Linked DNA regions of Tamandua tetradactyla. The protein of the gene in region 1 purifies or fractionates together with the protein of each later gene. This does not show direct contact. Links are inferred from orthologs where the notes say so. Each region holds a gene or a part of one and is shown in the gene's direction. Other genes may lie near its edges.

The links.
Region 2: the proteins of FKBP5 (region 1) and PHLPP1 purify together in Homo sapiens (affinity purification with mass spectrometry; 4 studies listed by BioGRID and IntAct, with this or other methods). This does not show direct contact. The link is inferred for Tamandua tetradactyla from reciprocal best matches to the Homo sapiens genes FKBP5 and PHLPP1.
Region 3: the proteins of FKBP5 (region 1) and CDK9 purify together in Homo sapiens (affinity purification with mass spectrometry; 10 studies listed by BioGRID and IntAct, counting the BioPlex papers as one, with this or other methods). This does not show direct contact. The link is inferred for Tamandua tetradactyla from reciprocal best matches to the Homo sapiens genes FKBP5 and CDK9.
Region 4: the proteins of FKBP5 (region 1) and PRKAA1 purify together in Homo sapiens (affinity purification with mass spectrometry; 3 studies listed by BioGRID and IntAct, with this or other methods). This does not show direct contact. The link is inferred for Tamandua tetradactyla from reciprocal best matches to the Homo sapiens genes FKBP5 and PRKAA1.

The regions. Positions count from the first base shown.
Region 1 is NC_135331.1:92,296,915-92,304,308, reverse strand, and holds the start of FKBP5 (peptidyl-prolyl cis-trans isomerase FKBP5), read left to right. Parts: upstream 1-4,380; 5' UTR 4,381-4,570; intron 4,571-4,997; exon of another isoform or gene 4,998-5,081; intron 5,082-7,394. UniProt on the Homo sapiens protein: Immunophilin protein with PPIase and co-chaperone activities. Component of unligated steroid receptors heterocomplexes through interaction with heat-shock protein 90 (HSP90).
Region 2 is NC_135344.1:19,506,885-19,514,340, reverse strand, and holds the start of PHLPP1 (PH domain leucine-rich repeat-containing protein phosphatase 1), read left to right. Parts: upstream 1-4,440; 5' UTR 4,441-4,659; coding exon 4,660-6,244; intron 6,245-7,456. UniProt on the Homo sapiens protein: Protein phosphatase involved in regulation of Akt and PKC signaling.
Region 3 is NC_135328.1:50,628,007-50,635,426, forward strand, and holds the start of CDK9 (cyclin-dependent kinase 9), read left to right. Parts: upstream 1-4,413; 5' UTR 4,414-4,529; coding exon 4,530-4,621; intron 4,622-5,080; coding exon 5,081-5,162; intron 5,163-5,875; coding exon 5,876-5,966; intron 5,967-6,335; coding exon 6,336-6,502; intron 6,503-6,626; coding exon 6,627-6,798; intron 6,799-6,922; coding exon 6,923-7,071; intron 7,072-7,420. UniProt on the Homo sapiens protein: Protein kinase involved in the regulation of transcription.
Region 4 is NC_135335.1:90,938,988-90,946,869, reverse strand, and holds the start of PRKAA1 (5'-AMP-activated protein kinase catalytic subunit alpha-1), read left to right. Parts: upstream 1-4,864; 5' UTR 4,865-4,896; coding exon 4,897-5,023; intron 5,024-7,882. UniProt on the Homo sapiens protein: Catalytic subunit of AMP-activated protein kinase (AMPK), an energy sensor protein kinase that plays a key role in regulating cellular energy metabolism.

The DNA.
Region 1 (7,394 bases):
TCTAAAGCGACAATCCTGTTTGATGTAACAATTTTGTCTTTTCATACAGAGGTATCTTCAAAACATTACTTGCTATTTCTAGTTAGCAAAGAGTCTTGGAAGTATTCAGAATTTTACTAGAGTGTTGAAATCAAACCTCCCTATTCTTTTGAAAAAAAAAATTTTTTTTTCGCATAGGCAGGAACTGGTGGGAAATGAACCCGGGTCTCCGGCATGGCAAGAACTCTGCCTGCTACGCCACTGTGACCACTTTTGAAAATTTTAATGTCAGTTATTTGTCCACATCCTCAAGCATGTTTTACTCATCTCCCACCGTCCTGCAGAGCGCGAATCTAGGTTCTGTATTACCGCCGTACATTGCTGACAGTTAAAGCCTCCTTTATCTTAAAACATCTCTTTAGGGTGTTGAGCATCTGCGTTCCCACACCCAGCAACAGGCAGAGCCGGGTGGGTCGCAGTTTGGAATTCGTATGAGAAAGCACTCAATGTCCCTTCCGTAGTGACATTCTAGAATCCTGTCCTTTCCCTAAGGCACTGAAAGTGCTGCCTTGGCTACATAGCCCAGGAGGCCGCCACCTCTAATAGTTTTTTAATGGATTCCTTAGGATTTTCCTATATACAAGATCATGTCATCTGCAAAGAGTTTTAGTTCTCCCTCTCCGATCTGGATGCCTCTTATTTGTTTTTCTTGCCTAATTGCCCTGGCTAGAACTTCCAGTACAGCGTTGAATAGAAGTGATGAGAATGGAATCCTTGTCTTGTTCCTGATCTCACGGAGAAAATATCCAGTCTTTCTCCATCAAGTGTGATGTGACTGCAGATTTTTCATAGATGTCCTTTATCAAGATGAAGATTTAGGCTGCCTGTTTTAGGAAATAAAGCTTTATTAGAACACAGCCATGCCATTTGCTTATGTTTTGTTTATAGCTGCTTTATGCTATTACGACAGAAGTTGTGTAGTTGTGACAGAAATCAAATGGTCTGTAAGTCTAAAATATCTGGCCCTTTAGGAGAAGTCTGTTGACATCTGTTTTAAGCCCTCACATTTTGGGATAGTTTGCCATGCAGCAATATATAACTAAAACAACTCCCAAGATTTTAGACTGTGTCTCCAAAGGGCTGTACCACTGGGTAAGGATGAACTCTAAAAAAACAAACCTTCCCACAAATTATAGCCCAGTTTGAGTGATCTGGGAGGCTTAGAAAATCAGAAGCCTTGAAATTGGGTTAAGGTGATCCTAGATTGCTAGTACCCCAGATGCCTGGCAGAAGCAAATGGAAATTCTTTCCAGAGGAAGATTTTAACATCATTACCTCAAATGATTTTTCAAATACAATGTTCAAAGAAATAACCAGGTACATGAAGAGACATGTAGGAAGAGCCAGCAGTAAAAAGTGGTAACAGAAACAGATCTGTAAGGAGTCCAGATTGGTATTATCAGACACAGAATGTAAAACAACTAACTTACTATGTGTAAGGAGAGAAAAGCCAAGTTTGAAAATTGTAGCAGGGAACTAAAAGGTCTGAGAAGTGACATAGCAGATTTGAAAACAAATTAAACTGAAATTCTAGAACTAAAAAACAGCATAACCAAGTTTAAGAGCTCAGTGGATGGGTTTAAGAGTAGATTTGTTTTTAAAAAGCTGAAGAGAGAGCAAATGTGCTGAAAAATTGTGAAGACACTTCACAGAACAAAGCAGGGAAGAAAAAAAGACAGAAAATACAAAAGAAAGGGCTGTCATGGGAAGGTGTAATATCCTTCTCCAGAAGGATAGAAGAAAAGAGACAGAAACAATATTTGCACAGGCAGCAGCTGAGAATTTTTTTAAAGCTGGTGAAAAGCTGCTCCAAAGCTGGCAGGCAACCATGAAATAACAACTGCCCATTCCTTAAGGTGAGCTGGCTCTTAGAAAGGTACACCTCCATATACCAAGCTGCCTTGGGAAGATTCTGAAACCAACATGGATGTAGCTGTACAGGAGAAGAAATAGGGGTTGGGTGTGCTGAGTTTAAATACAAGCTCTCTCACTTTGCGGCTGTGCCACCTGGAGAAGGTGGCCAAACTTTAACTTTCTCAACTAGTAAATTGGACTAGTAATACTGGCCTACCCTACATTGCCCTTGTGAGAATCAAATGACATATAGCACGTGAGCAAACCTAGCGAATGCCTAGAGCTTTAAAAATGAGATGTGGTTTGAGTAGTAGCAGGCTGGCTATACATATGCTTGGGGGCACTAACAGTGACAGGGGCACTGTTGGGAACAGCTACATAATTTGCAGGGTCCAGTGCAAAATGAAAATGTGGGGCTTCTTGTTGAAAAGATGATTAAGAGTTTCGCGATGGCAACGGTAGAGCATTAAACCAAGCACAGAGCCCTGCTAAGTGTGTATTCCCAGGCAACTGTCTAGGTCACACACCTATGAAGCTTGCCAGCCCTGGTGACAGCTCCGCAAAGAACGGCTCCGTGTGTTGGGAAAGGGCTACCCATCCCTCATTCAGGTTTCTGCAGCCATAGACCATGTCATAGTTGAATTAAAACTGAAGGGCAGCAATTTTTAAGGGAAATGCAAGCACATGTGCTTCCAAATGCCGAAGATGAGGGTAAGTACAGCCACGGGAGTGGTTTTCTGAGGGAGTAGGTGGGGCCAGCCAAGCTGCCATCAGAACTGTGGAACTGACTGTTCCCCACAGACTCTGGCCGAGAAAAAAAAGAGAAAAAAAAAGGCTGCAGCTGTATCTACAGGGCCTGCTGTTGTTTGCTGCGGTGTGTTACAACACAGCCTGGCAGCCTCCCGGGCCTTTCTGTCTTCCTCCTGGAAGAGCCTGGTCCCAGGGCATGTGACTCAGCCACACAGCCCTGGAGATTGGTCCACATGGCTCCTCACTGTTCCCTCCACTACTAGGCTTTTCCAGGTCTTGCTTGGAAGTCCCTTTACTTCCTCTCTCACACTCGTCTGTCTGGCAAACACCTACTCCACCTTTCAAGACTCAGCTCCAGTCCTCAGTAAAGACTTCCCTGTTTCCCCCAGGGAACCCTGTCTCCTCCCACTTTGGGGTCCTTCACAAAGCCCCTGTGACATGAAGAGCACTGACATGTTATGTGGATGTCATTGTGCCCTAGGCTGAAGCCCCCAAGGGCAGGGCTAATGTCTTCTCACTTCCGTTTGCTCTGCACATACACAGTGCTTAATACTTACTGTTATTATGCACATAAGATGCCTAGTAAGTTGGTGTTAGTATGTAGAGCAGTTTTAATAAACATTGTCTTGCTGAATTAAGGCATGAACAAATTGTCCTGATTGTCTCCTGGTAGTTGGGAGAAGCTGGTACTTAGTAGCTGGTAAGATGGGAAGCTGCTAACTACTGAGGATAGCTAAGTGACTAAGACAGGATCCTGTCTGTCGGTGCTGGAATTGCCATTTTTGAAGGGTCCACCTCTTGAAGGCAGGAACAACTACAATCTCAACCAGTGCGGTGACTTTCATAAATACGTGATGCCCATCATGATATGGTGGCTAGAGGGCTGATGTGGGGGCCAGGAGATGTGGATTCTAATCTGACTATGGGACTTTTAGATTCCAGAAGTAATTATTAGGTCTCATAGGTAACTAGTTTTGGCACTTCGGGTTTCTTTTTCCTCAAAAAACGAGACGGTTGAGTTGGGCATTTCCTAAGACCCAGGTGCAGCTGATAGATCTCAATGGGAGCCAGTCAGGTAACCATCTAATTGGATGGGGGTGGGCTGATGTTGAAGTTGAGTTTGTGCAGCAGATTTATGCTTTGTGGGGAGAAAACGGCCATTGTTAAGGCCTCTTCCTGTCTCAATCCTTCTTAATGGTCTGCGATCTCACGTTTGGAAGGTTGGAAGTCAAGGGAAAGTATGGTGTCCACAGTCACTGGGTGTCCAGAGAGAGGTACTGTGTGCTCAATTGGTTCTCAAGGTGGGATTTCCCCAGTCCAGGCATCTTCACCTTCTTAGTTCATTTCCTGGGGCAGACCTGGCTGGCTCCAGACACGGACAGCTTGGTCTGCCCCTCTCCATCCTCAGGGCACGACCGGTGGCCAGACAACGGCGACGGAGCTGTCAAAGAGATATGAAGTCAAGTAGCTTGTTTAGGTATCAGTTTCTTTGGAGTAAAGGAGAGCGTGAGGAGGTGTCGGGAAGCTTCCTCCCTCCCTTCTCTCAGGTCCCCACAAAGGACAAGAGCCAGACACGTGGGCTGGGGTGGGGGAGGCGGAGGTTACATTCAGGCGGTGATGCAAATGAAGGGGTGTGGCCTTATCTGCGCGGACAGCGCGCTGCCACCAATCCCGTCACGCGGGGCTACAGCCCGCGCGCCTTTTGGGGGCGGGCTGACAGCCCCGGGGCCCTATGGGAGGCGGGTCCTGCGGCCGGCGGGAGCGGGACGGCGTCGGGCGCTGCCCTGGGTTTTCAGGCCGGCTGGCGAGCGCTGCCAGTCTCTAGTGGCGGCGTTCGGTGTGCCGGCGGCCTGCTGGGCGGGCTGAGGGCGCTCTGCTCGCGGGTACGGCGGAGGGAGACGGAGACGACAGGCAACCGCGGCGACAGGTACCGGCGCCATGGCTGCAGGGATGGGGCGGGCGGCCGCGGCGCCCCGGGAGCCGAATTCCCTGCTTCTCGGTTCCGCCGCCTCCCCGCCCCCCTCGCGCGGCTCCCCTTCCCTGGAGCGGCTAGTCGGGCGGAGCGGGGTCGGGGAAGCTTGGAGGTGAGCGCTCCCGGGGCTCCTCCAGCCCCATTGCGGGTCCCTGGGCGGCTCCGCGTGCCCCTCGCCGCCCCGCCCGGGCCGCAGCCCCTGCTTCCCCGCAGACCGCGGGGCCGGTGTTCCCTCCGGGAGGCGCGCTGGTTGGGCGCCCGCCGCGCTCCCCCTCGCGGAGGCGAGGCAGGTTGCGCCTGCTTGTCCTCACCCGGCTTTTGTTTCCCGCCCGGGGTATCAGGTCCCGACTTCGGCGGGCGACCACCCCCGCCCCGACTCGCCCGAAGCCGGGCGGGCGGTTGACTGCGGAGCGCCGCAGCAGCCGCTCGGAGGAGGCGGCGGGATCCTCCGAGAGCCGGGCGGAGCGTAAGTAGCCGCCGCGGCGGGCGGGAGAGAAACTTCGCCTTCGCAGCCGGGGGCGGCGGGAACATTCGAGCCCGGGGTTGAGCAATGCTCTGGGACGGACGCGCGGCGGGCACTGTTGAGACTTCCTCACCTTGTTGGCCCCGTGGAGGGTGAGGATAACGGAGCGTCCTGGCCGCTGCCCTTCTCGCTTTCGGTTTCCGCTCTCCCGGCGCGGCGGCCCCGGGGTAGCCCACCCGGGGGCTTTGGATGGGCGCTCACCCCTCTTCAGCTGCGCCCTGGGAGAAGGGACTGGAGACAGCATCCCTCCTCCACCGCCACTTGTTGAAAGTGCCAGCGCAGCGCTGTGGCAACGAGCGATTTGTAGTAGTCTGGGATGAGACGAAAGCGCATTAAAAGTTGTTTTAGGATTCCCGATCCTATTCACACCCGGGACTAACGCCTTCTTCCTTTATTGATCATTTATAGGTGTCCCCGCGAAAGTATATGATTAAAAACCAGTACTGAAAAAAAAGACTCATGAGGGTCAGAATGTAGATTGCCTTTTTTAGATTGACGTTTTAATCTCTTTAAAAATCTGCAGATGTGCCGAAAGCATAGTTAAGGTCGGAGCTGTAAGCGGAGAATGAAGAACTCTAGATATCCCTCAGGGTGATTCGGGACAGCGTGTCCTCCCGGTGGCCGCCATTCGTAAATTCTGTATGAAGACGTTTGAGCTCGGGGATTTGGATTTAGTTTTTAGGAGTATGTTTTCCAGCGGAACAAGGCCTAACATTGAATGGGCGCTTCCTTGGCCTCTGTGAGGGCAGCTCTTATAGGAGTATTTATTTTTATTGTCTTCCCATTTTATTAGATTGTGGACAAGGAAAAAGTGAAGGCGTATGTTGGTTAAGTGTTTGTAGTAGTCTATGGGAATTCTGTGAGCAGCCCCTGCCCCCCATCTCGGATTTTTACTTTAGAGAATTCTAGTAACTGAATTTCTTCCTGTGTGAATCAAAACTCAAGGATAGATTTCAAAATATTCTTTGATGGGAAATTTTTATTCTGTCATGCTTTCACTTGTTTTCTTTTTATCATTCTTCCACCTAACCTCTACTTAGTCTACAATTATGGCCCTGATCAGTTTAGGACATCTATAGAAATACATTTTTTTAATGTGCGTTATTAATCCTCATCATTTGTGAGAAACACTTGATTTAGTTTAGTCGGTTTTTTCTTCTAATGTGTCTTCTTTGACATGTGTCCTGGGAATGATTTATATCTCAGAGATGTTAAATTTAACTTCTTAAGAGCAAAGTTATTAATTTTGATTTAGATTAATTATGCTACTTTACTTGTAATTATGTGAGAATTGTTCTTATTTACCTAACTGACCAATAACATCATGAATGAAAGGTGACCTCTTTAACCAGCAGATAATTTTTGACTATTTGAGATTTTCAAAAAATAAAGGAGATATTTGAAATGTTTTGTTTCTCTACAACAGCAGGCTTAAATGTTGTGAGATCTTTGTCTTCCAACTTTTGATGTTTCTGAATCTTTAGTTGTTTTAGTTATGGGAATTTGGGGTGGATTTCTTTTTTAAAAATGATTTTAATCAGTTCAACATAAAAACTTAAAATATTGCATTAGACAACGAATTAAATCTTCAATTTTCTATTTATTCCTGGATTAGAAGAGAGTACTTTTTGTTTTTTTTTTTAGTTTCCTAAACGTCTGAGCTTAGAATGAATTAGTCCAGAGAAGAAAGAACATTCTTTCCATGGCCATAGAAGCTATTGCTATTAAAAGCTGTGTTGGTTTTTTGGTGCATAGCGAGGGTAGATTGACTGAACAATTACTCCTCCTAATGTAGTATTTTTTTAAAAATATATATATAGATAATTGTAAGGAATCTTAATGAGACTGAGGTTCTTAATTGTTTTGAGTGGTTATATAATTGTTCTTTAAAGTGTATATGACTATATTACTTTAAATACTACTGTGGGTAATTAGAAGTTGAGGTCCTTATCATGTGATGAATGCCTAAATGTATCATATATAAATTAAAATTATATTTCATAGATTTATTTAAACAAAACCATAATTTAGATAATTTAAGTATAAAAGGACCTTTTAATTAAAAACCCATTTTAAAATCCAGGTTTTATGTCTTTTAATTACTGATTTTTGTTCACTTTAAGTTGTGGTAGACCATATCATAAAATTATCAACCACATTTCAGTTTCAAAATTAACGTAAATTGCATTCTCACATCTACACAATAAGCATTTGTTTTTAAGTCAGTTATCCTTATATGTCTCCTTTTGAATTTGA
Region 2 (7,456 bases), on another chromosome or scaffold:
AAATTTTATGAGCAAGGGATAAGATTTTGGAGAGACCAGAAGACCTGCAGTCTTCATCCTGCAGGTCAGCAGTGGACATATTAATTCAGTTGGGCCACCTGAGGCCCATCTGCACTAGAGCAGTAATTGAATAAATGGGCCCCTCATGGTAAGAAAGGATGAGTAAAGAGTGAGCAATTTAGGCATGGGACACTAGTAGCTCAAGGGATATAAAAATATGAAATTATAATTAGATCTCTTGTTCATAATATACTAACTAAAAGTATTACATTGTATGGTACACGTTTCTGAGTTTATTTCTGGACACTGCGGAGCCCTTTACAACTGACTAAAACCGTCCAGCTATCAATTCATGTTCCCATTAAAATTCCAACTGCTTATATTAGAAGAAAATAAATCCAAAGATGGTTTACTTTTATTTTAGATCTAAAGATGCACACTGGGACTAGCCTAGATGCAGAATACAGCAAGTCATTTATAAATCACACAGCGTAAAGTAAACAGTGGCAGCAAATTGAAAATTATGTTTTCTTTTTCTAAACATAACTGTGAAAATATTTTAACAAGTTGGCATCGGAGTTTGCAACTTTTATCTGATGTTTCTCTTCAGGATTATCTTGAAGCATTTTAAAATGTGATGTTTGGGAAAGTTCAGCTAGTCAGAAATGTGGTATTAGATTATACATTTGGAACACTTTACAGGAGGCATTCGTGACGTACATGGTTTCAGAACGCTGGCATATTTTCTACTGTATTTAATAGGAGAAGCTGCTATTCCAAGATATTTGCCCTTTAATGAAGTCTTTCTCCTACTCAGAAAAATTGTGTAGTGTGAGTTGGCATATTTGGTCCAGTTAATGTTTGATGATACGAGCACCCTCTAAGTACACGTTTCATTATCATTATCATTTCTGTTATTTTTACAAGGTTCCAGCTAATCTGGTGTTAAGGGGACTGTCTTCCCTTTCGGAATCTCCTTTCATCCCAACGTTCATAACTTTATTGCAACTTTATCGAAGGATTGGGGGTGACATGAGAGAGGAATCATCCCATGAACCCTTGCCCTTCTGCTCTCCACTCCACTCGGATGTTTATTATCCTGGGTTCAATGGAATCTTTCAGGTCACAGACTCAGCATGAAATTGAGTAAAATCGTACTCTCCATTCCTTCACGTTCCCACCCCCCCACTTTTTTTTTTTCCTAAGGGGGAATGCATTTCCTTTTTCTTCATACTGAGATATATTTCCTTTAACCCCAATTTAGTAATCCCTCATACTAAGTTTCTATTGTCTAGGAGTGTATGACTCTCCCAACGCCTCCCTCTCCAATATTTTGAGTTGAGTTCTTTGAGAAATGTTTTTTACTTTCATTTTTTCCGCCTCCACCCCCTTGGAAGGAGGTGCTATGATTAGAAATGCTTTCAAAGGGTAAACGAAATTCCTAGAGTATAAAAAGGCAGAGTTGTGGTGACTGTGTAAAGCTAAATGAAAAGAACCAGAGCTAAAATAAGTAAAATACTACAATTTCTTAGAGCAGATGCTAATGGACATTGGGCCAAGGATGGCAGAATTTATTATTAGAAGAAACTTTTATAGAGCTTGTTAATTAGCTATAGAAATATAACCTAGAAAGTAGATACTATTAGTTAATGACATTTCTTAATATAGGAAAAATTAAAGAGGTTTGTAAGAAATCAACTAAGGAAATAAATATAAACAGAAGATGTAAAGAGTTTGTTTTAGTATGGAAATTTAACATGAGCTTTGTTTGAAAATTTTATTAGTGGATGGCTAAATTGAAATACTAATCTCAATTTCTAGGAAAAATTGTCTTGGGGATATGTAAGACAAAGTATAGATTAGTGTAGTTGAAATTTATCTTCACTCTCCTTCTTTCTCTTTACCTCTTTTCCTTCGTTCAAAGACTGATCCTTCAACAAGTACTCAACTTTTATTCATTCCAGAAAACTTCCTCCAAAATTAGGTCTCCATTTTCTGACTCCCTAGACTAGGTGAGTTCCCCTCTTTTATTTGCATTTCTATGGAACCTTGTATTTTCCCTTCCCCACAACCATCTCAATAATGGAAGGTCTTTCTTTCTAACCTGTAAACAATATGAGGAAAGGGAAAATGCCTGATTTATTCAATGGGTGTAATATAGTGACTGGTACCCAATATATGTGTATAATTGCTAAATTAATTGACCTGAATATTTTTTCTCTGTTGGGAGAATTTGTGTTCTTCCTAATTTTTAAAAACAACTCAGTGCTGTTAACTGGATTTAAATGGAATAAAAATGAGGTTCATGAGTCCAAGGGATGACTTTAAAAATATATATATAGTGGGTGGGCCATGGTGGCTCAGCAGGCAAGAACGCTTACCTGGAATGCCAGAGGACGTGGGTTCAATTCCTGGTGCCTGCCCATGTATAAAATATATATATAGGAAGTCATTTTCAGGAATTTTAAGAATCATTAAGAGAAATATTTATTTTTAGTTATGGTAACTTCGTCCATTTTTCTTTAATGAAACCATGTGGATGAGTTAAGCACAACTTACCTTGCTCTTATCAGTTTCTATTATTTCAATAAGCTTCAGTTGTTCTCTCTCTCTCTCTCTCTCTCTCTCTCTCTCTCTCTCTCCCTCCTCATCCCAAAGTTTAAAGTTTTGAAAGTTAAGGCCGACCCTGGATAGACCTTAGTTGAAAATTTATCAGAAGTTTCATGTGAAAATCCACACTTATAAAACAATCTGGGGGAACGGCAATTCAATTAAAAAGGTTTGGTTTGCTAAATTCTTTTAAATAGTAACCTGCCCTAGTTCACCTTAAATATACATACATATATATATATTTAAATCCTGGGAACACACATTAATAGTTTCTAAAAAAGCCTGCAGATAAGGATTTCATCTAAATAACTGCTGACAATTGGAGCTATTTATGCCAGGTAGGAAATGTGAGGACACTTAAAGGGAGGAATCTTGAGGGCACTAAGGGCAGAAATGCCAGGCTTGCATTTTAGACCATGGCAAAATTTTAAGTGTTGAAAGGTTTTTTCATTCTTTGAATCTTTATTTTCACTAGACCCCTTTAGGATCTGCGTCCAATTGATGTCACATGTACCTGAGCCTGTCTGTCCATCTGTGACTGATAATGAGACACGTTTCTCTCTAAATGCTTGGCAGCTTTGTCAGGATATTCCGCGCATTTGTATTTCACCAAACTGGGTCACACACCACCTTGGAATGTATAGTGGTGCCACTATCTGGAAAACCACCTGCTGACTAGCGGCCAACTTCAAGATGTGACAGAACGGAAAGACTAATATTTTCTGGACACACTGAAATATTTGAGGACACGGTTGAAAACATGTAGAACTTCTGAACCTTCCAAAGTAGGGGCGCATCACAATATTGTTTTAACTGACTAGAAAATGCAGCTACTGCTACATTGTAGAGAAAATATATTTTTTCTCAATGCTGAAATAAAAAAACCCAGGGAAAATATAATAGAGAAAGCACGAAACAGCCCATATTACATCTCACCGTATCTCTCCTCCAACTTCTCTTCTCCTTTTCGCTGCTTTCCGTGCTATTAAGCTACTTCAAATTTCAAGACCAAAGGGAAAACACTCAGATACAGGAGAGGGAAAAGATGGGCTCACGGTCGCGCGATTCCCCCCAAGCACATTAACAACTGTCCAAATTAGGAAAGGGGGTTTGTAAGAGTGAGAACAGCGCGAGGTTGTCGCCGTAGATGGCCAGTTATCCTGTGGCGCGAGGGTCTGTATTGGTATCTACTCATACAATGCCTGGAGGTGAGGACCAGGGACCAAGCTTAGCGTCCCTCAAAACCCTCACTTTCAATTAGCAGGGAAAAGAGAAGTCATATGACGAGCGCCCGATAAAGTACAGTTTATGCACCGCCAAGACAAGCGTTGCACCCGTCCGGAGCTCAACACAAGAGGGCACGATACGCACAGTCCACAGGCAGCGGCCGGCGGCCCGGAGCGGCGGGACCTAAGGCTCGCTGGGGCTTGTAGTGCGGCAGGCTACCGTCGCGCACGCCCGCCAGAGCCGAGGAACTACTACTCCCGAGATGGACCGCGCGCCTCTGGCCTCCCGCCCGCTCGGGGACCTCGGGGAACACTGCCCCCGCCCCGCGCTCGCGTCACTTTTGTTTACCCTGAAGCCCCGCCCCCCACCCCCCTCAGGCTCTCCCCACTCGGCGGGGGAATGCCGTAATGCCCGCAATGCATATTCAGGAGGCCGTCGCGGAGCGCCCTCCCCGTCTGTCTCGCGCCTTCCCTCTCCCCGCGCGTGATTAATATTCAATGAGCCTCGGCGCGCGCTGATTCGCCCGGGTGGGGCGGGGGCGGGGCCGGGCTCGAGAGCCCGCGGCCCCCGCGGGGAGGGCACGCGTGGGGGGGCGGGGCGGTGGCGGCGAGGAGGGCGAGCGGGCGCGCGGGCGCGCGGGATGGAACACCGAGACACCGACGGAATGCTCCGAATTGCCACATAATTCCCTGGAACGGCCGCTCCGAACGCCATTGGCTTCTCCCCTCTCCCCGCGCCGCCGCCGCCGCCCACCTTCGCCTCACCTCCTCCCTCCCCGCCCGCTGCCTCCGGAGCTGGGGGGAAACGCAGCGCCCCACTGCAATGGAGCCCGCCGCCGCGGCCACGGCGCAGCGACTCCCCGAACCCGGCAGGGAGGACAGAGCTCCGGCGGCGGCGGCAACGGCAGCAGCGGCGGCGGCAGCGGCGGCGGCGGCGGCGGCGGCAGCGGCGGCGGCGGCGGCAGCTCTGGCGGCGGCGGCTGGGGGCGGCCGGAGCCCGGAGCCCATGCTGACCCCGGCGGCGCGGAGCGGCGGGAACGGCGGCAGCGGGGCGCGGACAGAGGCCCCCGCTGAGGCGCCGCCGGGGTCGCTGCCCGGCAGAGCTGGAGGCACGAGTCGCAGGAGGAGACGCGGGGCACCCCAGAACCCCGCCGGCGGGGCTGCCCCTGTGCCCGGAGCCGGCGGCGGCGCCAACTCCCTGCTGCTGAGGAGAGGGCGGCTGAAGAGGAATCTGTCCTCGGCCGCTGCCGCCGCGCACTCCCCCGGCGCCGCCGGCCTCGCCGCCTCCTGCTCGGCCTCGGCATCGCTGTGCACCCGGAGCCTGGACAGGAAGACGCTGCTCCTGAAGCACCGGCAGATGATGCAGCTGCAGCCGTCGGACCGGGACTGGGTGAGGCAGCAGCTCCAGCGCGGCTGCGTGCACGTCTTCGAGCGCCACATGGCTTCCACCTACCTGCGCCCGGTGCTCTGCACGCTGGACACCACGGCCGGGGAGGTGGCCGCCCGCCTGCTCCAGCTGGGCCACAAGGGTGGAGGCGGCTTGGTCAAGGTGCTGGGCAGGGGGCCCAGCACTGCCGCCACCCCTGGCCCGGACGCTGGGCCCCTGCCGCTGCGGACCGAGCCGCGGGACTGGGCGCCGCCGCCTGGGAGCAGCTGGCTGGGTGCCGTCGGGGGCCGGCCGCGCTCGCCTCCCGCGGACCTGCCGCTGCCCGGAGGCCCGGGCGGGTGGATGGGCTGCACTGTCCGCGCTGGCCCGGCGCCCTCCGACTCCAGCCCCGGCGACCGGCTCGCGGGGGGCCCTGCTCCCCCTCCCAGCGCCCCCCGGCTTCCGGACGGCGCGGCCGCGGGCCCGGCCTCCGACACCGAGAGCTTCAGCTTGAGTCCCAGCGCCGAGAGCGTGTCGGACCGGCTGGACCCCTACGGCAGCGGCGGTGGCTCCTCGTCGTCGTCGTCGGAGCTCGAGGCAGACCCAACCCCAGCCCCGACGGGGTCTTCGGACCAGTCCCACCTCTCCAGCCACTCCCCAGAGCTGTGCGGCGACCCCCGCGTCCTGCAGCTGTCTCCCGCGGCCTCACCGCCTGCGTCGCGGCCCAAAGCTCCGAAGGGCGTCGACTGTCCGGGTGGTGCAGCCCGCGATGGGCCGCGGGAGGAAAGGGCGGCGGCGGCCGCATCCATCCGCAGTACCTCGTCGACCCCCGGGGAGAACGCGGCGGCCGCGGAGAAGGAGGCTCCACCACCCACCCTGTACGTGCAGCTCCATGGAGAGACCACCCGGCGCCTGGAGGCGGACGAGAAGCCATTGCAGATCCAAAATGACTACCTCTTCCAGCTGGGGTTTGGGGAGCTGTGGAGGGTACAGGAGGAAGGCATGGACTCGGAGATTGGCTGCCTTATCCGCTTCTATGCAGGTAAGGCGCTCACCTGCACTTTGACGTGTGGGGTGTGCACATTTCATGTACCAAGAAATGATTGAAAATTGACATATACTTGCCCAACCCAAGAATAAATGCAGGTCCTCGTGATGCTTTGTTACTCCTTCAAAACTTGCGCGTGCCATCTGCGCAATGCCAAGTTGAGCAGTTTTTTAACCCGTGAATTTTAGTCAGTCTTGAGGGTCAGAGGTTGGAAAGTAATGTGGAGGGGGTGGCAGAATCTCCAGGAAGTACAGGAAGCAGGCAATAGTACTTTTAATAAGTGCTTCCTTCAGGCCTCTGGTCATAGGCATACTGGGTCTGAGGTAGTTTGGCATTACAGATAAACATCAAGTGCACATAATATGGACAGAGAAAATGTTCAACAAAATGCTCTAAAGCACCTCTGCACGCTTTTGTTCACAGTTTACTATTCTAGCTCTAAGTATATATACCAGCAGCAGCAGCTCCGTCCTTGTCACCTGATGCACCTGTTCAGCTCGCTGTTGTGCTTATTTGTTCAGAGTCACAAATACGATCCTTTTTGGTGATACTTGTCAATTTTTGGTTTTCTTTCCGTTTCCTCTGTAAGGTTGATTCTTGCATCAAAATAATGTTACCTGTTTTCTTCCCTAATTTATTTCTTCCGCCATTTATAAAGAGAAGTGGACATTGCGCTATGACTTGCAACACAGATCACAATAAGAAATTAAATGGTTCATGATCTCTTCAGATATGATCTAAAATCTTCCCCATTCTTTTTGCAATCCCAGATCAAATTCTTGACCAAGGATGACTAATGAAATGTTTCTCTTTTTGCTAAATACTTGGATGATGCTACATTAGGGGAGTTCTAGGTCCTGATTGTTGTATTTGAACTTTATATGTTGTTTGCATCCTATCCCTCCTCTGGATTGAAGAATTATGCTCTTAGTGAAAAGGGTTTTTATTTAAAATAGAGTTAAAATCATGGCAAAATTAAAACAGGAGAGAGTTAAATCTTCCCTGCTTTATTATTCTAGAGTGTCGGTGATGGTGGGAAAATAATCATATTTGTAACTATTACTATGTGGCCATATTTTCAAATGTAATGTTTTGTGGTCCACCTTGTGTCCTTGTGGCAGTTTAGTCAGTTTGAATGATATACCAGTAGCATTCCTGTTGGGAAGTTCATCTAAGTTTAATTGAGGTTTTCTGAAATTGTTCAGT
Region 3 (7,420 bases), on another chromosome or scaffold:
GGCCTCTATAGGGCCCATCTCCTGGGGTTCTTAGGAGCATTCAAGGCCAGCATGCCACAGGCCTTGGCAAGGACTGGCTGTTGTTGCTGAGGGATGCGAGAATTCCGACAAGGGACTGGCTGGCATAGGCCAGGAAAACCCTGGCAGCAGATGCATGGTGTGAGACCCAGGAGTCCTGGCCACTGGGAGGCTGTGGGGCTGGCTGGGGCTCGTTGCTGTGGCAGAGGCGCCTTGTCAGTGCTGGGTCTGGGCCTGCCGTTGGCCCAGGCACCAGGGCAGTGGCCGACATCTCTAGGAGGATGAATGGGGCTCAGTGTGGCAGCTCTGCCGAGCTCAGACCCCTCTTTGTACTGCCTTGAGTGGCCGTTGGGAGCACGGCTGGGGACCTGCTGGCGGGTGGTTGTCCCACAGGCTCTTCTCAGCCTGTGCTGGAGGCCAGCCCGGCCCAGCCCACACTCTGCAGCTTTCCCGCCTGCAGGCTTTTGCTTAGGCTGGAAGCCCCACCCGAATGCTGCTCTTGTTGCCACTGGTTCAATCTTTTGCCTCCTTCCAGTACCTCTAAGGCCATCTTTAGCTACAGTGCCCCCAAGAACCTGCTCTGGTTCCTGTCCCTCACTCCTGCCACCTCTTCCCCAGTCTATGACCCAATAGCCTGTAGCTTGGCCAGGGACAATTAGGGATTGGAGGCCTTAAATGTTATAATCAAAGGTACTGGACTGAGGCAAACCTAAGTTCAGTCCCCACCTTGGTGACCTTGGGCAAGTTATGTCACCGTTCTGAGCCACTTTTTCCCATCATTAAAATGGAGCAAATATGATGTTTCTCGTATGACCGTGAAATAAAACATTTATACCAAGATCATCATCCTTATTACATCCACGTGTGTCTTTATTTGCATGTTCCAAACAGACCTTAAGCTCCCTGAGAGAGGAATGGGTCTTACCCATACTTATTGGCCCCATGCCTGCTAAACTGTAGGTGCTCAATAGATGCTTTTCCCTGGGTTGACCCCATTGACTGGTAATGGGGGCAATGTAGGATGATGGTTAATCACTCTAGGCTTTGAGAGAAAAGACATCTGGCTTTGGATTCCAGCTCAATTGCTTCCTAGCTGTGTGTCCTTGGGCAGGTCATTTCACATCTCTGAGCCTGTTTCTTCTTATATAACCTGGCCTTGATTATCATACCTCCTAAGAGGGGTGCTATAAAGTTTCAGGAGGGTGATGCCTGTCAATACAGGGCCAGGCAGAGTTAGTTCCCAGCCAGTAAGGGCAAAACTTCCATGGTTTGACAAGACCGTGGGCATCACACAGATGTTTTCTCTCCTCTATCCCCCTCCCCAGAGATCCTTTGTCTTTCTGGATGTGCCAGATGCAAAGAGCAACCTACCCAAAGAATCTGTCTTCTCCTTCCCCTCCACATGCCCATTACCCATCCCTGCTCAGGGGTGGGAAAAGGGTTCAGGCTAGGGTCAAACAGCTGAGCAGTGACTCTCTTCCTGCTTAATGTGTCAGTTTCCCTAACTATAAAATGGGTAGCAGGACCAGAGTTCCCAGGGCCTGATCAGACAGTCACTCAGCAGACATTTACTGACTACCAGTCACGTGCCCCACTTTGCCTGCTTAGTGAATACCTGGGATACAGGAAACACTTTCCTCAGACCAGCAAAATTGAAATCAAAGTCTAGAAATTGTTTCTTGCTAATTTCTTCTCACCTTCACTTGGGTTTTGGCAGCTCTGGTGATGTCTGGCCCCAAGCCCGGGCAGCCTTCTGAAGGGCTCCCAATGCCCTGCCTGCCTTCCTTCTCCAGGCAGGGCCCACAGCCTGAGGGAAGTGACTGGCAGATGTGAAAGTTCAGGTCACAGATGGTGGAGTAGAGGTGACAACACCACCGGAACCTCTGCTGAGGCTTCTGCCCACAGGATGTGACTTATGGGATTGCTCGTGTGAAAGAGACAGCAGGTCCCAGCCTGAGGGCCTGATGGTGGAGGCCACATAGACCCATGACAGACCTCATAGTATTGCTACTATGTCCTCACACACCTCCCATCCAGCATCCAGTCCACATCCCTAGTTCTGCCCCCAGCCCAGAAGGGCAGACCATGACATGGGCAAGAGCTTGGCTTTATGCCAACCTGGCTCAAATGCCAGCTAGGCCACTGGCCAGCTATTTGACCCTGGCCAGGTGACATCACCTCTGAGTCTCAGTGTCCTTATGTGTACACCAGGCTGGATAATAGTAGGTACCTCATAAGATTCAGGGAGAATTGAGATAATTCCCTTAAGTATAGGGCTTAGCACATTTATTTTTCCTCAATAAATGGTAATTACTATAACTATTATCTTCCTCTCTGCCCTCTTGCACCTGATTTGGCCAAGGGTCTCCCTGCTTCTAACAGTGTGCCCAAGAAGCTGACCCCAGCTCACTTCTTATCAAAAATTCTCACCAGCTCCACGTTACCCTCAGGAGAGGACACCCGGCTCCTCAGCCTGACTCTCAAGGCTCTCCCTGGCAGGGATCTGCGCAGAACAGGCCTCTTGGGACACCACGATCACCAAACCCGTTCCTGCCTTTTCTCATGAGAAGGCCTCAAGGCCAGGCAGTGAGGGGTAAAACCTATGAAGCCGCCCTGCAGGCCTCCTGTAGGCAGAAAGGTTACTTTTGGGGGAGAGAGGTCAGGGGAGCACAGCCCTGAAGCCAGGAAGCTTGGGGAATTAGTAGAGAAACCCATAAGGACACAGCCTGGGATTGTAAACTGGAAAGAGCTTTAAATGTCACAGTCAGGATTTTCTTGAGACAGTTGGAGGGCTTGAGGAAGGTGGGAAATATATACAGACTCTGCTTTAGAATAATCTGGCAGGTGCTGTGAGGGGGACAGATGAGGAGTCTGGGGTGGCCAGGACTCCCGATCCCTTATAGAGGGCCGGAGCCCAGAGGGCAGATTGAAGAGGTGCAAGGAGTTAGAAAAGACAGCTTTGCTGGGGGCTGGTCGTTGGGTAGATCTGGAGGAGGAATCCAGAGGCTCATGGAACCAGAGAGATATGAGGGAGGTGCTGAAGAAGGCATGGGTAGGATGGGAAAGGGGGAGAGGGCACAGGGCCCATGAGGGAGATGGTAAGTGAATAGCCGGCTTGGTGCCTGGCAGACTGTAAATACTGCGAGCTGCAAGAAACTTCTTCAGTTTCAGAAAGCCCAGGTTCGAGTCCCAGCTTTGTATGACCATTGGCAAATAATCTCTTCTCTTAGAGCCTAAATGGCCACTGAAAACCGGGTTTGTAATACTGACTAACTAGGGGTTGTTGTCAGGATTCGGCGGAGTCCCCAGCACTTCTCCAGCACACAGGTGTGCTCAGTAATGTTAGCTATCTTTGTGATTACTGTCCTTTGCCCAACTGGCTCTGACGCAGCAGGGCGGAGTGGTAGTTCCTTGGGGTCTCATTCTTGCCGCCCAGAGAACAGGGATCCAGGGCCGAAGGCCCGGCTGTTGCTCGCTCACCGCCTCCAGTGTCACCGCGCCCCCTAGCGGCCATCGGTTGCCATGTCAACGGCGGGTGGAGGAGGCCTGGGGAGGCCGCGGAGTGGGCTGGTCTCTCCTCCCAGGGCCGGAGGCCGCTCCTTTGACGCGTCTCGCCTTCGCCTCTAGGGGGGCACCCCGAGCTGTGGAGGAAAGGGTTCCCCGAAGCAGCTAGTAAGGGGCGGGGGTAAACTGAGTCAGGCGGAGGGGCGCCCCACAGCCAGGTGTCGGGCGCGGGGGGCCCACCTCCAAAGACGGGGGCGGGGCCGCGGGCGGTGACGCGCCGAGGGCGGCCGGCGGACAGCGGGAGGCGACAGCGGCAGCAGCGGCAGGTGCGGCCGCGGAAGGTGGGAGGGAGGAGGGAGGAGGCGGGAGGAGGGGGAGGGGAGGGCGAGGCCCGGGCACCTCCCCCTTTATAACGCGCCCCTTCCCGGGCTCTCCGGCCGCCTCCTCGTCGGCTCTTCCCGACTCGACCCCTCGCCCGGCTGTCCTGGGCCGGAGCCTGGCCAGGAAGCCCCCAGGCCGCGGCTCGGGGGCCGCTCCCCCGCCCGCCGCCCCGCGCAGCCTGGCGGAGGCGGCGCCGGCGGAGGAGGAGGAGCAGGGCACTGCGGCTGGCCCCGGATCGGGCGCCAGAGAGGCAGCAGCTTCGACAGCAGCGGCGGTCCGAGCCGATGCAGCGGGACGCACCGCCCCGAGCCCCAGCCTCGGCGCCCCGGCTCCCCGCACCCCCGATCGGAGCTGCCGCCGGCACTGGCGGCGGCGGAGGCGGGGGCAGTGGCGGCGGCGGAGGCGCCGCTGCAGCTCCGGCTCCCCCTCGTCTCCCGGGAACTACAAGTCCCAGGGGGCCTGGCGGCGGGCGGCGGGCGGAAGAGGCGGGGTCGGCGCCGCGAGGCCGGAAGTGGCCGTGGAGGCGGAAGTGGCGCGGCCGCGGAGGGGCCTGGAGCACGGCAGCGGGACCTGGGACGGGAGTGGCGGCGTCTACTGGAGGCGGTGGCGGTGCGCTGGAGGCGGCCATGGCAAAGCACTACGATTCGGTGGAGTGCCCGTTTTGTGATGAAGTGTCCAAATATGAGAAGCTCGCCAAGATCGGTCAAGGCACCTTTGGGTAAGACTCGGCCCGGGGAGACCGGGGGCTGCATGCTTCAGGGCCGACGCCGGGGGCCCGGGGTCGGGCCCGAAGTGGTTGGGAAGCCGCCGAGCCCCGGGCTTGTCCCCTTATCTCCCAAGGCCGCACTGCATCCCACCCGGACCTGACGGAGCCTTCTGGCGGGGAGGAGCCTGAGGCTTCTGGTGGGGTACGGGAAAGGGTTGCAGAGAGAAGCCCCTGGGGGAAGAGGGACTTCTCCCAGATAGATGCCTGAGTGAGGAGGAGGAATTGAGGGAAGGAAGCGGAGAAGATCGGAGAAGGACCATAGATACTAGGTAGTGGGGTGGCCAACTGCCCCGTATACTCCGCCCTGCCCGGGAGTATCTCTTATCCTGCCCCTCTTCCTCTAGTGGGGGAGGGGCGGACCCAGCGGAAGCGGCCTGATGAGCTCTCTTGGGTCCCCCTCTCGGCCTGCAGGGAAGTGTTTAAGGCCCGGCATCGCAAGACTGGCGATAAGGTGGCCCTGAAGAAGGTGCTGATGGAGAACGAGAAGGAGGGGGTGAGTACAGGTTGGGTGGGCAGGCCTACCAGCTCCACTGGACATGGGGACCCACTTTTCCTAGGAGTCTCATGTTGAAATTCAGTTGGCATCTAGTAATTTGGGAATTGCCACATTCCAGAGAACTTGGCCTTCAAACTAGGTATTTTAATTAGAATGTTTTGAAGCGTTTGACATTTTATTTGTTAACACGGTTGGGGTCGGGAAGGGGAGCTTTTAACACTTTTCTCTTTAGTGTGTAGTTTTGGTTAATGTAAAAAACATCCACGTGGCTTTGAAAAGTTGAATTCTACTCAAGAGAACATATTGAAGAGGATTAACGCCCTGTATCACTCCCTCTTAGTCTAGTTCCCCAGAGATTAATTTTGTAGCCATGGAATTTTTTAATAGTTATTTTTGTTGTTTTTGCTACCACAAAGCAAGTTAAACACAAGCATAGAGCTAAAGTTGGAAGGCAGAAAGGAATTAAGGAGCATTTAGTGACTTGGTAAAGTGTGCTAAATATCTGTTTCAGTTAATTGTCTGGAATCAGTGTACATACTACTGTTATACTTATTTTATCCATAGGGGGTCTGAGGCAGTTGATTTCAGAGCCCATGTTCTTACTTCTTTCCCAGCCTCTGTTCCTTAGAACAGATTCTAGAGGCAGTTCCTTGGTCTGCACCCCCTCACCCACTTTTGACCCCTTATTGTCCTCCCCTTCTCCCCACCAGTTTCCTATCACAGCTTTAAGGGAAATCAAGATCCTCCAGCTTCTAAAACATGAGAATGTCGTCAACTTGATTGAGATTTGTCGAACCAAAGGTAAGTTGTTTGGATCTTATTCCCTATTTTCAGATGGTAACAAATGAGGTTTATAGCATGAACTTTGTTTACATAGCTGGAACTGGACATACCAAATGGCCTCTGTTTAACCCAGACGTAGTAGTGATGACTGCTTTCTCTGGTCCTCTCTCATTGTAGCTGATGCTTTCCCAGGGCTTGCCACAGCACCCAGCCCAGAGGAGGCACTCAGAAAATAGTGAAGGAACAAGCAAACGGATGCTTGAGGGCATGGGTGGTCCATAAGTTGAAGAGGGGTAGGAGCTGACCATGGGAAAGTGGGTTGAATGTGGGATTTTTTATTCTTTTCTTCTCCCTGCCCCCCCCCCCCCTTCATTTTTGCTGTTCCAGCTTCCCCCTATAACCGTTGCAAAGGCAGTATATACTTGGTGTTTGACTTCTGTGAGCATGACCTTGCTGGGCTGTTGAGTAACGTCTTAGTCAAGTTCACACTGTCTGAGATCAAGAAGGTCATGCAGATGCTACTCAATGGTCTCTACTACATCCACAGAAACAAGGTGGGCACCAAAGTGGGGGAGGAGTTACTAAGACTTGGGTTGGCCTTTGTGCCCACTGCTGGATGGGTGTGGTCAAAGGACTCCAAGGAACCTGGCTGAGCCCTCACTCCATCCCTTCCCACAGATCCTGCACAGGGACATGAAGGCAGCTAATGTGCTCATCACCCGTGATGGAGTCCTGAAGCTAGCAGACTTTGGACTGGCTCGGGCCTTTAGTCTGGCCAAGAACAGCCAGCCCAACCGCTATACGAATCGTGTGGTGACACTCTGGTACCGGCCCCCAGAGCTATTGCTCGGTGAGGACCCCTACATGGCCCCAGCCCCACACTGCCAGGGCTTCCTGAGCCATTAGCCCCAAGGCATTGCATCTCAGGAAGCCCTTGGGCTCAAGGGGCCCTCCTGGTGCGCTCTTCTTCCCAGGAGAGCGAGACTACGGCCCCCCCATTGACCTCTGGGGTGCTGGGTGCATCATGGCGGAGATGTGGACCCGCAGCCCTATCATGCAGGGCAACACGGAGCAGCACCAGCTCGCCCTGATCAGCCAACTCTGTGGCTCCATCACCCCTGAGGTGTGTGCGCAAGTTGCCCGGGCCCCTGATCCCCACAGGATGCAGAGACCCAGAAGTCTCCCTGGCTGGGGAGGAGTGGGGGAACGGAATATCAGAAAGCTCCTCCCAGGAGAGTTGCCCAGCAGAGAAAGGGCCTCCTCTTTAGTGCCCCACAGCCTGTGTGCAAGTCTTGGTTCTCTCACCATGTAGTTCTGTGGCTTTGGGTAAGGCATTTGAACTGTCATCTCAGAGTTGATTTTCTCTTCTCTGGAACAGAAGTCACGCTTGTATCAGGGTTGATACGCACATTCAACGTTGGGTATAAAGGGCTTGGCACTTGGTGTGTGCTTAATACACTGTTGCCACTGAT
Region 4 (7,882 bases), on another chromosome or scaffold:
GCTAGGGAGCTCTGATTCAAACACATAGGCCTACTTCATTTGCTACTTGTTCAGTGATGACACCCAATCTTTCTCTCTTGACTAACCTTTCTTTGGAGTTACAGATCTGTATTACTAGTATCATACTAGATATTTTTACCCGAATGTCCTTTAGATGCTTCAGTTTTACAAATAGAATTCTTTATTCTCTGGAACGTCTGTTCCTCACTCTTCCCCAAATCCTGTCTATTCTCTTCCTACATTCCTTGTTTCCATCAATGCCACCATCATCTATTCAGGTTCCCAGGCAAGAACCTGGGAGATAATTCAGATTCTTTCTTTCCCCTCTTTATCCATACCAATCTGTGTTTTACTAATTCCACCTTCTAAATAGGCCTTGAGTCTGTTTCTCCTCTTCATGCGTGGTGCCTGCCTCATCATTTCTTAGCTAGATGATGCTGAGTCTACTGTTTTACCCCCACTTTGGTCTTGCTCTTCTCCCATCTATCCTCCACACTAAAGTCAGAGTTTTGGTTATTTTTTCCTAACAGTTAATTTTTTGACTGTGTAATATGTGCATACATTCCAAAATAAAAAAGTTACAAAAGGGTATATTGGGAAAAGTGCATCTGTCTTTTGCCCCTGACTCTTGGTCACTTCCCAGAGGCACCTATAGCTACAAATTTCCTGGGTGAAAAAATGTATTTCTAAAATGCATGTGCTTTACATCTTCCCATGGTTCACCACTGTTTACAAAATAATGTGCAAACTGATAAGAGCATAACAGGACTTTCAAGACTCAAGATTTACATACTATTTTCTCTAAGAAATCCATCTACACCTTCTTTTGTAACCACTTGAATTTCTCCAAATAGTCTTAAGCTCCTTAGTTCTGGGAAATTGCATATGCTTTTCTCCCTACTTGGGATGCCTTCTCCAATTTCCCCAATCTCCACGCCAACTTTTTCTTTGAGTAGAAAACTTCATCTCTTAATATTCACTCATAAGATATTCAAGCTAAAGACTTTGAAGACCTCTAAAGTTAAAGGTTTAGCCCTCTCTTCATTATGATCTTTCAGGATTATGTTTTAGTTTGCCATGCTTAAAATGGCAAATACCACACAATGAGTTGGCTTAAACAATGGGAATTTATTGCCTCACATTTTTGAGGCTAGGAAAAGTCCACAATGTAGATATGAGCAAAGCTTCCTTTTTCTCCAAGGATTGTATAGGTTCTGGGGCTGACTGCCAGCAACCTTAGGGTTCCTTGGCTTCCCTATAACATTATGATGTCCTCTTCTTTATCTTCCAGGTTTCTCCTGACTTTCAGTTTCTCATTAAGGCTTCCAGCAATCTGATCAAAGGCCTGCCCTCATTCAATTGGGCCACACACTCAAAGAAAAGCAACATCTTTAACAAGACCTATTTACCATGGATTCATACCTACAGAGATGTGGATTAAGATTAAGAACATGTTTTCTTTGGGGTATAAAACTCAGTCTATCCCATCCACCCTCTGGACCCCCAAAACACATATTCTTCCCACATGAAGAATACCTTCATTGCATCAAGATACCTCAAAAATCTTAAGCCATTTCAGTAATAATTCTAAGTTTAAAGTCTCGTCAAAATTAGACATGGATGGGGGTGAGAGGGTAGTTCAGCTGTGGAATTCTTGCCTGCCATGCGGGAGACCAGGGTTCGATTCCCAGCCCACATACTTTCCAAACAAGCAAAACAAACAAACAGAAAAGCCAAACAAAAACAAACAAACAAAAATTCAACAAATGGTGCTGCAATAAAGGGATACTCACATGGAAAAAGAATGACATGTAACCCCCGCCACACTAGCATACAAAGAAAAAAAAAATTAGACATGGATGTGAACTGTCCTGGGGCAAAATTCCTCTCTGTGAAATCTAGCAAACAAGTTATCTGTTTCCAAAACACGATGAGAGCAGAGGCATGGAATAGTCCAATTCTAGAAGGGAGATATTGGAAGGAAAGGAAAGGCCAGAGGTCCCAGGCAAGTCCAAAATCCATCAGGGTGAATTATGGCGAATTTCAAGCTTTGAGGGTTATCTGTGGATAGATGTGGGTGTACTGAAATGGCAGCCCACTCTTTCCAAGTGATTGTGCAGTGGCCATCTGCACTAGGTCTCTGTGCTGAGACCTAGTTTCTCCCCAATCAAATATCTGCCCCCAAACTGGGGTTGTAGACCGCACTCGCTTTAAGTATTGGGGTACAGCTGAACTCTCCCCATGTGCTGGGGTGTAAAACTCAACACTTCCAAGCACATGGGCAGAAGGCCTGCCACCTCCAAGCATAAGGACAGACCCATCCATTAGGCCTACACCTCTACTTCCATGACTCTACCACTGAAGTCATTCTTTTTTCAGTTTGTCCATACTCTGTTTCTTTTAGTCCACTGGAATGTTCACCTGGATAGTGTAGGGTCTAGCAAGCTATGATGACCTTAAGAAGAAAAGACTAAGACTAGACATACCAGCCTTAAGCTCTGGAGGGCTAGAGAGGAAGCAGATGACAACCAATTACTCAGCTCTTCCTCAAAGGAAGTTCTACACCAAGGTATTGGATCAGCTGGGTATGTTTTTATCAATGCTAAGACACAATGTGTCTTCTTTGAACTAATAAAAGTTGAAATACTGAAGTTTGCAAACAATTTATCCCCACCCTCACTTCAGTTAAGGTACAATGGATTCAAGGTTACCTCCATAATTTTCCTCCTGCTCAGTTACATTCCAATATACTTTGTCGAGAAAAGGGGCAGATTTACAACTGATGGGTCAGGAAACCGGGTATAAACCACAGTCTACCTTATCTATTCTTCCACCCTAGAAGAATGTCCGGCAAGTGAACATTATCTATCTTGGGTGGGGGGAAAATAGGGAGAACTGCTATCTTAGACCATGAGCTCCTCCAGGGCAGAGACCATGACTTTTCATTTTGTTTCTTTCTCCTGTGTCTGGCAGTTATCAAACTTCAAGAAAAGAGGGGATGAATATTTGGGAACAGATCAATAGGAGGTTGGAAAGGAGGAAGGCTGGAAATAGTTGGACATTTTTGGGGGGTACAGGGAATCCTGCTCAGGTAAGGCAGATGTGTGGGTTGTTTTACCACACACGAAAGAATGAAGGAAATAGAAAAAGCAAAGGAATAAGGAAAGGAGGCTTATTATTTACCTTCTTGGGAACTGGTAGATGTTTATTGGAATCAGGTTTTTAACTCAACATAAGAAAACAAACAAACAAATCAGCAACTAAAGCCGCTTAACCAGGCATTACAGGAGAGTGGAGAAGATAACCTTTAAGTTCCTGCCCAATCCTATTTTCCATGATTCTAGGTTTTGTTTCCCCCTTTCACTGAATAGTGGCATTTAATGAATATTATTAAATAGATTTGCAACCTGAAATAACATCAGAGCAGAAACAAACTGATAGTTAACAGAATCCAGAGAGCAATTTGAAGAGATCCCAAATACCTGAGTTGTAGAAACTCAAAAGGCAAACAGGGTAAGCCAAAGAAGCTAGAGAACGAAAGTTACAACAGTAACCCCTGCCCACTCCCCAAATATCTCAATAATCAACAATTTCTGAACTTTTGGGCCTTCAGTATATGTGCAGTCCATAGTACAACAGAGACTTGGTTATCTGAGCAAGTCTACTTGGAACTGTTCTCTATTTTGTGTACTTCTAAGCTCAAGGTAGGAATGATTGCTTCCTCTGCAAGTATTCTGCTTTGTACAAAGCAGTGTTTAATGCACATTCCTTTGCTTTCATAAATAGAAAAATATATGTAAACCAGGAGAGCTGGGTAGCTGATTTTTGTTGCAAAGAAAAATGATATTTTGTCTTTTTATTTAAATACTATTTTCATGAATAGCACAACTTTTTGCCTACTGATAACAGGCCTAGGTGCTATGACACTGCAAATATGAGAGCACTTAACTGTTTTTTTGATGAGATACTTGATTTTGCTCCGTTAGAGTAGCATCGAGTAAGAAACTCACTTAAATTTCGATACAAATAGACATACTCTCCTTCTTTTCCCTATGAAATGGCATGATTTCATTCGTATAGACAACAGACGGTCTCGTTTATTGCAAGTGTAACAAACATTTGTCGATTGATCTGGCCGATGTAACTGTAAGCCTTGTTTTCAGGCCAATGAAATTTACATTTTGCTGATAATTTAAAAATGTGAATTCTCATATTCCAAAAGGGCTGGGTAACAACCCTTCCCCCACTACTTACATACATCCTCAACCTGCTCCCAGCAGCAGAGCTTACTTCGACAAAGTCTACTTGAGTTGCCCAACAACAACTTCCGCAAATAAAAGTACAAAAGAGCAGTGGGGAGAAACCACAAGACGGTGCAAGTGAAAACTCCCTACGGCTTCCATAACGCATCCCAGAGGAAAAGATAAAAATAAAGTTTAGAAATACAGTGGCAAAGTCGTGTTCAATCCAAGCTACAGTAGTAATAAACCACGCATCTGCATCATTCAAGCGAGATTCCCGGTGCACAGCTCCGCTTTTGGAATCACACTGGGAGCAGTCCCCCGGGAGCCTGGAGTGACCACAGCAGGAAGAGACTCCACCCGGGGGGAAAGGAGCGGAGGGGCCACCGCCTTTCTCTCGCGCGCAGCCCCCTCCCGCGAGCAGATGGGCAGGCGCCCGGGGCCATAACGATGCTGGGCGAGGTAAGGGGTACTGACGGTGACCCCGTCCAGCGACCTCCGTTCGTCCCGCCAGGGGGCGCGTCTGTACACAACAGCCACTGCGTGGACCAAGCGGGTGGTGGTTTGTTCAGGTCTGCGGCTCCCCTCGCGCCTCCCCGCCCACCCCCGGCGCGGCACGGCCCTGCCCGCCCCCTCCGCCCCCTCCCGTAGCGCCATGCGCAGACTCAGTTCCTGGAGAAAGATGGCGGCAGCCGAGAAGCAGAAACACGACGGACGGGTGAAGATCGGCCACTACATCCTGGGGGACACGCTAGGCGTCGGCACCTTCGGCAAAGTGAAGGGTGAGGACCCCCGGGGCAAGTTTTGGCCCCTGCTCGGGATCCCGCCGACTTCCGCTGTTCCCACCTCCTCTTCTTTCCCGGTCCCCCTGCGCTCCTCGTCTCCCTCGCTGGACAGCCCCTGTCCAGGCTCCGGCCAGAGCGGGGCCCGAGACTGCCGCGGGACTGCGACGCGGCCCCCCAAGGCCGGGGTGGGGTGGGGACCGAGCTCCATGGCGATGGCGCCGCGGCCAGAGGGGGCTCGTCGGTGCCAGGGGTCGGGTTGCGGAGGTGCGAACTTTCCCAGGTGTGGAGTCGGGGAGTTGCGAGGCGCGCTCCCAGTGCTGGGGGTGAGGGGTGGGGACGGCGCCGGGGTGCCTCGCCAGGAGCCCCACGGAGGTGGCCTCCTGTTCGTCCCGCGCTGTGCTCCTCTGGATCACGGCCAGCCCATCGCTTCCCCGGCAGTCCTGGGCATTGTCCCTGTTTCCGTCTTCTTCAGGCTGTGGACTTATCTGCTTCTGCAGATTGCCGACTGTGAAATGTGTTCCCCGAAGAGTGAGGTTGCTTTTGGGAGGTAGCCTACAGAATTACAAAAACAAAACAAAAAACCATCCATCTCGTCGAGGAGGATCCTTGATTTCCTTTGGAGCAGTTAATGAAGTTCTATATTTGCAGTGTATGGTTTACGTTCTGAGTGCGGACACCGCGCATCAGTGTTTCTGAATTATCAGGATTTTCTCATTCTGTGTGCTGAACCTGCTTGTTGGTGCAGATGTTTCCTCCAGACAGTAGTTATTGGTTCGTTTGTATAGTTCATTTCCATTTATTTTCACAGAATGTTACTTCTATTTTAATAAACAATTTAATGTACATCATTGAACTTTTTTTAAGTGGTAGTTTCTTAGCGCTTTTGTTTCAACACAGTATTATGGAAATAACGAACGTGCTCTCCAGTTCACTAATTCTGGCACAAATATAATTGCAAAATGTATGGGGCATTAATGCTTTTTTTCTTCAAAATTGTGACTTTGGTTATTAGAGATGTAGATCAAATAAGTATGAAACTTATAAAAAGAATTTATGAGAAAGAGAAAAAAAATTTATGCATTGGTTTTGGATAGACTATGACTTGCATATATTTACTAAGCACCTGGCAAATATTTGACTTGAAAGAAAAAAGTGGTTGAATGTCTGTACAGTGAATTAAGTAACAGTCTTACTCTCCTGGAGCTAAATAAACATTTTCTGATTTTATCTAGAGTTGGAAGAGGAAAACCCTTCCTTCTCTTGCCCTTTCTCAGTTATAGAACCAGAAATTTGCTGTGAAGTGTACAGGGAAGCAGCTGCCTACAACTGCTTGTGAAAATCAGCAGGGCCAACAATGTAAGGAAGTAAGAAGCAAATGCCAGAATAGAGTAATAACATTCATTAGAGTGGGTCTCTATTAGACTAGTAATGTTTCTGAGGCCTCAAAGTTATTATTTTGGCCCCATCTCCTTAATTTTAGCAATTACTGACTGCTCTTTAGTTTACTAGTACTTGTAAGAAATTCTCATTAATGTCCCACAAAGATGCCGGAACCCGGAGTTCTGTTTGGATTAGGGTGTTCTTCATTCCCCTAATTTAGACCTGAATTTGATCAGGTCTCATTTTCTTATTTGCTAAGTGGCTTTTGGCATGGCAGGTAGGAAGGCAAGAAGAGATTTTTCATTTTCTGAATTTGATCTGTGATGTGGTTGTGACATGGATTCTTTTATTCTGCTGTCCCTTAGCCTTTACTTCTCCTTCTCCCTCTTGAAGTACATACTCTATCAAGTCAATAACTTCACCAAATATAGATAGACCAATATTGGTCATAAGATCAGAGGTTTGTGAATAAAGGTATGTTTGTTCATAATACGTTAGTTGATGTTCAAAATCCTCAACCAGTGCATTTTTATGTTGTTAAATAGTTAGGATGTTTTTTGTCATGAGTAAGAGAAAATGCACCTCAGAGTAGCCAAGAATATCTTTTCAGAGCAACAAAGTCTATTATTTCTTGAGTGAGTCTCACTGGCTTATCCAGTCCCTTTAGCTAGGGATACCAAGTGCTGACTGGCTTAGGCTTGTGTTCCTAAGTAGGAATTAGCAAGGGGAATGGCATTACTCTTGTAGGAATAGGGTTCACTCTGGGATGTGTGTGTGAGGACATCTTCTGAAGTACTTGGATAATGTGTGTATGGGGCGGGGTGGAGAGGCAGATACCATATATATTGCTAGGATAGAGAAAGGGGAACATGGGTGCTGGGTGAGTGGGCAAAAGTAGTGATCATAGTGGTGACATTAGTAATTTATACCAGCCTTAGTTTGACAAGAATTCTTCTGAATGATAGGTTTAGTAATTTATTTCAATTGAGACACTTTGGAATAGATAGAGCTTTTAAAATTTTCTTTTAAACTTTCTTTGGTGTGAAATATATATACAGAAAAGCAGTAAATTTCAAAGTACATTTTAACCAGTAGTTATGGAAGAGATTTCCAAGTTTGATATGGGTTACAGTTCCACAATTTCAGATTTTTCCTTCTAGTTACTCCAAGACACTGGAGGCTAAAAGAAATACCAATATAATGTAGCAGTCATATAATGTAGCAGTCATACTCATTGAATTGTCTTTTGTGTTATAATGCCTCTGTCTTCTTTGATATAGATAGAGCTTTTAGAGTTAATTATAAACATTGATAAATTTAACATTAAAAAGAAATCTAATAGATATGTTATTGAAAAGCAAAAAAATTCTCAATATGATCTGTGTTTACAGGAAGTATTTTTGGGAGAAGAAATCTATAGATTTTTTTTTTTTCTGTTATAGGCAGAAACAAAGCAAAACAAAATAAAATATGAGA